Drosophila melanogaster: one gene and its partner. Changing the gene in region 2 together with the main gene of any one other region gives a genetic interaction. Each region holds a gene or a part of one and is shown on either strand. Other genes may lie near its edges. The genes, in order: ea and cype.

What was found.
Region 1: of cype (region 2) and ea, changing one enhances a phenotype caused by changing the other (phenotypic enhancement), as found in Drosophila melanogaster (one study listed by BioGRID).

Annotation. Positions count from the first base shown.
Region 1 is NT_033777.3:15,326,594-15,330,952, reverse strand, and holds ea (easter), read right to left. Parts: upstream 2,225-4,359; 5' UTR 2,021-2,224; coding exon 1,960-2,020; intron 1,871-1,959; exon of another isoform or gene 1,774-1,870; coding exon 1,387-1,773; intron 1,323-1,386; coding exon 592-1,322; 3' UTR 545-591; downstream 1-544. Other genes in the region: mRpL9 (mitochondrial ribosomal protein L9), read right to left, coding at 1-70, 128-199; CG6236 (uncharacterized protein), read left to right, coding at 2,908-3,026, 3,173-3,323, 3,390-3,577, 3,640-4,243, 4,301-4,359. UniProt on the Drosophila melanogaster protein: Component of the extracellular signaling pathway that establishes the dorsal-ventral pathway of the embryo.
Region 2 is NT_033779.5:5,325,344-5,328,730, forward strand, and holds cype (cyclope), read left to right. Parts: upstream 1-1,883; 5' UTR 1,884-1,943; intron 1,944-1,945; exon of another isoform or gene 1,946-2,007; intron 2,008-2,159; 5' UTR 2,160-2,163; coding exon 2,164-2,333; intron 2,334-2,400; coding exon 2,401-2,464; 3' UTR 2,465-2,626; downstream 2,627-3,387. Other genes in the region: Ncoa6 (nuclear receptor coactivator 6), read right to left, coding at 609-623; CG14022 (uncharacterized protein), read right to left, coding at 2,732-2,846, 2,910-3,036, 3,227-3,290.

The DNA of each region.
Region 1 (4,359 bases), on a different chromosome or scaffold from region 2:
TCATCCGGCGGGGTTTCTCGTTGGTTTTGTGCAGCGGCGGGTCATATTTGCGCTTCAGGACGAACGTGGTCTGGAAGCAAATTGGTGGTGAATGGGGATCGCTTCCCTAATCCAGGAGAGCACTTACCCGCACTTGCTGCTGCAGGCTGGTGGCCGATTTAAGCAAATTTAACGGCGTTACGTAGATGTTCTTCAACATTTTTACCACCAATATGTCTGCGTTGCCAGACTACTCAGCCAGTTTGCAGTGTTGCCAGATATGATTATTTAATCTGCGTGAGTTCAGCAGTAAAATTTTCAGTGACTTTGAAAACGATTATGAATTTAGTTTTTTTATTGCAACTATTTCTTTACATTTTAATAAAGCAAAATAATTTGCCCAATTTACCTTTTAATTGATTAAAAAAAATGTACCTTTGAAAGTATTATGACTGTCAATTTTAATTTAATAGTTTCATTACAAAATAAAAGATTGACTATGCCAATATTTCGGCGAACGCGCCCATCGACATGCAGTATGCGTACACGCTGTGAAGCAGTTTTTAAACGGAAACCGTTAGTCGAATTTATTTACAATATGACATTTTACAATCAGGACTCAATAGTGTTTTGTATCCAATCAACGTACTTGCCCACCAGCGTGTAAACTCCTGGCCATCCGGCCAGACCGCACGGAGTCGGTCCAAATGACACGACGCCGGCCAGGAAGTAGTAGGTGTTCACCTTGTTGGTGTCCAAGCCGATGAGCGGTCCCCCGGAGTCACCGCGACAGGAGTCGACGCCTTCCTTGCCGCCGGCACACATCTGTGTGTCCTCGAGGAGAATGTCCTGGCTGCTGTAGACGTTCTGGCACTCATCCATCCGGAATCCCTCCACGGCTGCCTTCAGCTTGAGGTTGCTGGCCGACAGCTGCTCCGTTTTGCCCCAGCCGGCCACGTCCATGGTGATGCCGTCGAAGGTGGCCGACCGCAGATTGACGTCCAGAGGCAGGCAAATGGGTCGCACAAAGTCGGTGTACTCCACCTGCTGGGCCAGACGCAGCAGGGCTATGTCGTTGACCTGGTTCTTGGAGGCCGGTATATAGTCGGGATGGGGTATAGTACGCTCCACGGGCACGTCCAGATGCGGTGGCGCGCAGTCCTTCATGCCGCGCACATCTACTTCGCAATCGGGATTAGTGTTGGTGTCCCATTCGCCCAAACGAACACCGGACAACCGCCAGTCGGTGGGCAGTGCCTTTCCGTTGACACAATGCGAGGCTGTGATCACATATCTTGTGCTGATCAAGGATCCGCCGCAATGGTGACCCTTTTTGCCCTGGCCTGCATGTAGGAATTAACCAGTGGATAAGTGCGTTCAGACTTAAGACGATGCCCCTCTACTTACTTTTGGTGTATTCAATTAGAGCCATCCAGGGGAACTCGTCGATCTTGGTCTTCATTCCGCCATAGATGCGATTGGACAGGATGTTGCCGCATTGTCCTGGCAGCGGCAGAAGGCTGTTGCTGGTTACATTGGGCTTGGGCGGTGGCGTCGTCTCCGATGAGCTCTCCCTGTAGCGGTCCGGACAGCAGATGAGCACCTTGCCGTTCGTATAGCCGCACTGGCTGCGACTCAGGTAAAGCCGGTCCGTGTCCCGGAGCGGGGTGGTGGTCAGCAGGCCGTATAGGTACTTGCAGTCCTCCAGATGGATGCACAGCGCACGCTCCCGATTCGGCGTTATGCAGCGCCCATAGTTGGGCACCTGGGCCGCCTCGTTGGGGAAGTAGAACTCTGGAAATCCAGACTTTAGGTTCAGAGAGCTTACCAATATTGTGAATACATAAATTAGGTCATTAGCTATGGAAGTACGGAAACAGGTTTCCAGCGACTTGTGAAGGCCCGCGGCAAAAAAAAACAAATACGTTAAGCTAGTCATGTCCAGCAGATGAGCATCTTGGCAGTCTTCTATTTACTTACGGCCCGCCGATGATTTCGCCAAAATGCCCAAAAAGAGGCAGATAATCGATGGCTTTAGCATTTTCGTTGCGCAATCGGACCTCGTTAGTCCTTTCTCAAGACGTCGTCAGTGGTTTGCGGATAATGTTTTGCCTAAAAACAATATTACAGACCGACCGCAGAAGCAGTTATCAAAATAAACGGCGCGATAATATGGACGATACCAGGTGCCACAGCGGAGCGGAGTGAAACGAAGAGGCCGAAGCTGAGCTTGGCGCACAACTGAATCTTCGGACGGACGCGGTTCTCGGCCTGCGAGCTTTGTCGCAAGCTTTTTGGCGAGTCTCCAAATCAGATATGAAGATAATCGTGGGAGCAGATCTTTATCTCTCTTCCAATTATTATTCTTAGTAATTGTCAGTTGGCTTATTTAACTTTGGTACTAATAGAATTTACTTTGTCACATGCTGAGTGTAAGTAAAGTACTCGGCAAATTTAAGGGAGTATCTACCATTATTTAATCCCCGCCTAAGTTCGATTGTATCACATGGTGTTTTGATAGCAAAAAGCACTATCATTAACGATAAGCTAACGGTATATTTCGTTCTACAGCAAACTGAAAGTTCTACCGACTTTAAATCGGACCTAAAGCAAAGTTTAAAGTCGCAGTTTAAATTGCAGCGGTCGCGTTGCCAAACAACACAGTATGACCGAATTCGCAATGTTGTTTGCCACTGTTTTGGCAACTCGCATATAGCGGTACGTCGCAGCTGGTGATAAGTTAAATGTTTAATTTAAAAAATGAGCGTGGATATTTAGTAAAGGTCGAATAGGCGGCAAGTTTGGAGATCGGCAGTGGTGTAAGTAGTACGTCGCTTGAGTGCCGAGTGAGTGCTGTATGTGCAGCAATAATGCGAATGCAAGTCTCATGTGTCTGGTCCGATATTTGCAGCTCATAATTTATTCAAAATGCGCTTTGTGCGGCGGGGAACTGTCCCCAAGATTGCAGCATGTTGCTGTGTGGTGGTCCTGCTGGTCACCTGGTATGTGTTGAACGTGGAGCGGGATCTGGATAAGAGCCTCAAAATGTAAGTATGTCTAGTTGTGCGTCACAGCGGCTTGGGATATTGATTGTACGATGTTTGTCCATACATATGTATATGTACATATGCGCATATTTGTGATAAAGAGTATTTATCTTTTGCAACTAATTCAATTTTGTATTTAATTAAAGCGAAATCATCGAGCGCTCCATAAGATCGGCTGTGAATCGTGGCGAGTGCCGGCATCCCCATCTGCCGCTGGACAATCCGGACATCATGAAGTTCTACAAGCCGGTTGAGCGAATAAACTGCGGCGAGGGCATGGACTGGGTCATGTGTGAGGTTGGTTGGGACTGGGCCCCTTCTACAAGAGCTGATTGCTTAACTTAAACCTCGTTTCCCCCAAAGAAATCCATTTGCTTTGTGCGACCAGAGATTGCGTCCAGCCACGAGGATGTGATCTGCTCCTACACGGACATTATTCGCAAGTCGGACTACAAGGTTCGCTTTGGGCAGTCACTGCGCATGAAGGAGCCCTATGTGCTGCAGGCCAGCGACTTTGTCAAGGTGGTCTGTCGATCCTCCAGCGGCGAGAGGTGACCATTATCTTATTTTATAGTTATGCCTATACTTTAAAGAATGATCTTCATGTACTTAGTTGGTTTGGCATGGCCCACGGAATACGGGATACGGTGCCCCGTCCACCGGCCTCCAATTTCTCCCCGAACTTGGCCGTCCTACCACCCGAGGCGGTTGCGCAGGCCCAGCAGCAGATGCAGGATGGGGCCACAGCTCCCATCTACAATGTCCTCATGTTTGGCTTCGATTCGCTGAGTCGCAATGCCTTCATTCGCAAGCTGCCCAGGACCTACGAGTATCTCACCCAACAGTTGGGCGCCACCGTTCTCAAAGGCTATAACATTGTGGGCGATGGTACGCCACAGGCGCTGGTGCCCCTACTGACGGGTTTCACGGAACTGGAGCTGCCGGAGACAAGGAAGCGGTTGTCCGGGGCAGGCAGCGTGGATTCGTATCCTATGATTTGGAAGGATTTTGCCCGCCTGGGATATATGACCTCCTTTAATGAGGATTTGCCCAATGTGGGCACTTTCACGTACCGCATGACAGGGTTTGAGGCCCAGCCGGTGGACCACTACCTGCGTACCTACTATGTCCAGGCGGAGCACATGGCCGCCGAGAGCAAGCCCAACTGCATTGGCCACCAGCCTGATCACATCACCATGCTGGAGTACACAAAAAACGTATGTTCTCTTTCGAAATGTGCTTGGAAACTAACTCATTGTATAATTTTCGTACAGTTTATGCTTAAGTATCGCGATGCACCGCGCTTTGCCTTCAGCTTCCATGGCGGCTTGTC
Region 2 (3,387 bases):
CCAAAAGACAATTCAGCTGACTGCATTTTCCACGCGCGGCATGCCAAAAGGGGGCGGAGCGGGTCGGGGCAGCTGGTGCCCACAGGTTGCATTTTCTCATGCGTGCGTGCGTTTTCCTTTTCTCTCTGCGGGACGTGTTATCGATACCCCGACGTCGTCGCCATTTTTCTTCTTGGCCTCTTGGAAGGCGGTGCGCCGGTGTGCGTGCTTGCTCGTGTACGTGTGCTGGTTGGGCAAGTGTGTGTGTGTGGCAGAGGGAAAAGGTAACCAAAATACTTGCTTGGCACTAAGGCGGGGGGTAAAAAGGGGGCGGGCTGATTAATAAAATAAAAAAGGGGGAACCGAAAAAGAGAGATGAAAAAATAAACACGGGAAATGCGAGATTCTATACACTCGAAGCCAACCAATTAGTTCACCCTTTTCGCCGCCTATTGTTTTTGTTTTTATACCCGTCTCTGAGTGCGTGGGTGACGCAAGTGTAAAATGAGCAAAAGCGATGGCAAAAACAGACAAGAAAAGGGGGGAAAAAGAAGCCCACTTGAAGTGCAATAATCGCAAATCAGCTGTTCCGTTGCGCTCCACCAAAAAGCGAAACACGATAAACTCACCTGTTTAAGTGGCATATCATCACACGACAATCGCACGCGTCGTAGGTTTAATTGTTAGAACGCTGCTCAATTCTCGCATTTAGCTTTCGATTGACCGCCGTGGCGTCCTTTGGATTGAAATTGTTGGACCAATTGCATTATAGGCTTGACACTCGATGGCTTCGGTTTATTGTCTTTCGATGTAATCCGCACTCAGTTTTTAACCTCTGCGACTTGGGTTTTTGGGCATTTTCCACTATTATTTTTTTCTCTTCTCCCCTTTTGCTTTTTACTTTTTTTTTTAGTAGTAGCCTCACCAACACACACACTCACATGCACTGCAACACACACACTCACACACACACACGTGCGGGGCGCGGATACGGATTTTCCTGCGTCACTTTTCAAGCGCTTTTCCTGCTGGAAATCTTGCGTGCCCGCTTTTCAATTGTTGTTTAGGGCAAACTGAATACGTTTGGGCCCCCACTGTTCTCCATTTCACAATCGCTGGCCAAATAGTAATGCCTGTTTAGCGGAACTCGAAAATTTTCACGCATTCGGGCAGCCGATTTTCGGGGGCTTAATTTCACACGGTTCGATTGCGTGCGGGCACTTGATAAACGCACTGATTGCTGTCGAAAGATTCGCGCTTGTTTTTCAACCATCAATTGGCGTTGCAACGATGCGTTTATCCTGTTTATTTTGTACAAAAAACTTCGTAATTATTAAATTTCCACGAACAATAACAAGCACACAGTGGTAGCCATTTTTATTTTCCAGCCGGTGTTGCCAGACGTCCGCGGCCCGAAATTCCCTAAATTTCCCGACATATTTGTGGTTACCAGGGCTGCGAAGTAGCCTGTATTGGAAATTTGGCTCGAGCAGAGTTGTCAATTGTTTGGAAATTGTAATTTTATTTAATTAGTGCTAATAAATTTATAAATAAATTGTATTGCTATATTGTCTTTTATTTTTAAACATGTTTAGCAATCATAAATATAATGGTAACATAATTTGAACATGTTCAATATATAAATTTCATTCACAAATATTTTTCCTGCTTTAAACTATTGATTTTAGCTGGCCTCATAGCTTCCAGATGAAAAATTTGAAAAGTTATTACTTAACACACTTTTCTCTTAATTCTGCGTATTTAGCCTCAAAATCATTTTATTATTAAATGAAATGATTCTGTCAAATTGTCTAGGAGTGCTTTTTAATATATATTTTTATTATTTATTTTCCAAAGATCAATCGATAATTTCGCGAATGCTGCCACCTTCTTCGAATAAACGATAGTATTGAATAGAATTTGTTTTAGGTTCCATCTCTATCTCAGATTCTGAATTTGCAAATGTGAGTACATAACAAGGTTTTTCTTTAAAAAACACGGTTCAAGGGGTTTTGGAACTTAAAAAAAGTAATTAAATATCATACCAGTTGGCCATATCAACTCCATAAATTTCTGGGGAGAATTCATTAGTTGCTATGCGTTTAATGGCAGCTGCCTTTGAGCACCTTACGTAACTACCGAGCAATATAATTGATTTTTGTGATTTTCATTCTTTTCAGCGACATGGCCAACACTCCAGCCACCTCCTCTGCCGGACCCGTGCTCCGTGGCCTCCACAATGCCACCATCAAGCGCAACCTGGCCGTTTCCCTGGGCCTGACCGCCGTGGTGACCATCGCCTACAAAATTCTGGTCAACGATCCCAAGAAGGCCGCCTACGCCGACTTCTACTCGTAAATATAGCTTAACTATGCCACATGAATGTCATCATCTGATCTGTTTTATCCATTATCCCTGCAGGAAGTACGATGCCAACAAGTCCTTCGAGCGCATGAAGGCCGCCGGTCGTTTCCAGTCCTGCTAGGCTATGTTATCCCAAAACACAAGTAGTCTAAGTCAAATGATGTTGTAGAACAAGAGTTGCGCTTCTGTATTGAAAACTAAATAGATTTCAGTCTACGTACGTGCACGAAGGCGTTTTAATTTAGAGCTATCTTGTATTGCCAGCAAAAGTAAATGTGAAGGCAAATTATGATTAAATTCTTTATTATTTACTCGTATTTACAAACTTAGCCAAGTAATGCACAAAACAAACACACAAAACTATAAGGCCACACAAACCGGACCACATCTAAAACCTAATGGCAAAGTCCTTGTAGTCCAGTCGGCTGAGATTGCCCTGGTTCCGGACCTCACAGCGATCGATTTGGCAGCCGGGTGAGCCCTCAGTGGACAGCCAGGTGATCCTAAGAGTAGATTTAATCAGAAAATATTAGCATGGAGAGTGTAAACTATTCCGGTTTACTCACATCTTGTCCACCTCCTCCTTGGGCCCCTGCATCTTGCCCACAATGGTGCCCTGTTTGCTGTTCTTCACCCAGCCAGTGATTCCCGCCTTGGTGCAGCGATCGCGGGTGTCTTTCGTGAGATTCAGGCCTGCCGGTCGAAAAAAGCAATGGTATATGTTTTATATAGTCTCTAGTGCATGTGGAATGGGGCGTGAAACAAAGCCAAGGACAGTTTGGGGCCCCAAAGTAACTAGCTACTGAGGGTTTATTTTTAGGCAACCATTCGAGAGAGCTATGCTATGCTTGATTCCCGATTCCTATTTCCCATGAAACCACACCTTGTACATGTCCATAGACCTCGAAATCCAGCGTCACCAGCAGTCGGATATCCGGAATGCCCATTTCGATCGATTTCGATTTGGTTATGTAAATTTGGCAGCAAACTGGTCGTTATTTTAGAATTTCCTGATTTTATCACTTTACTCGCACTTGAAAAAGC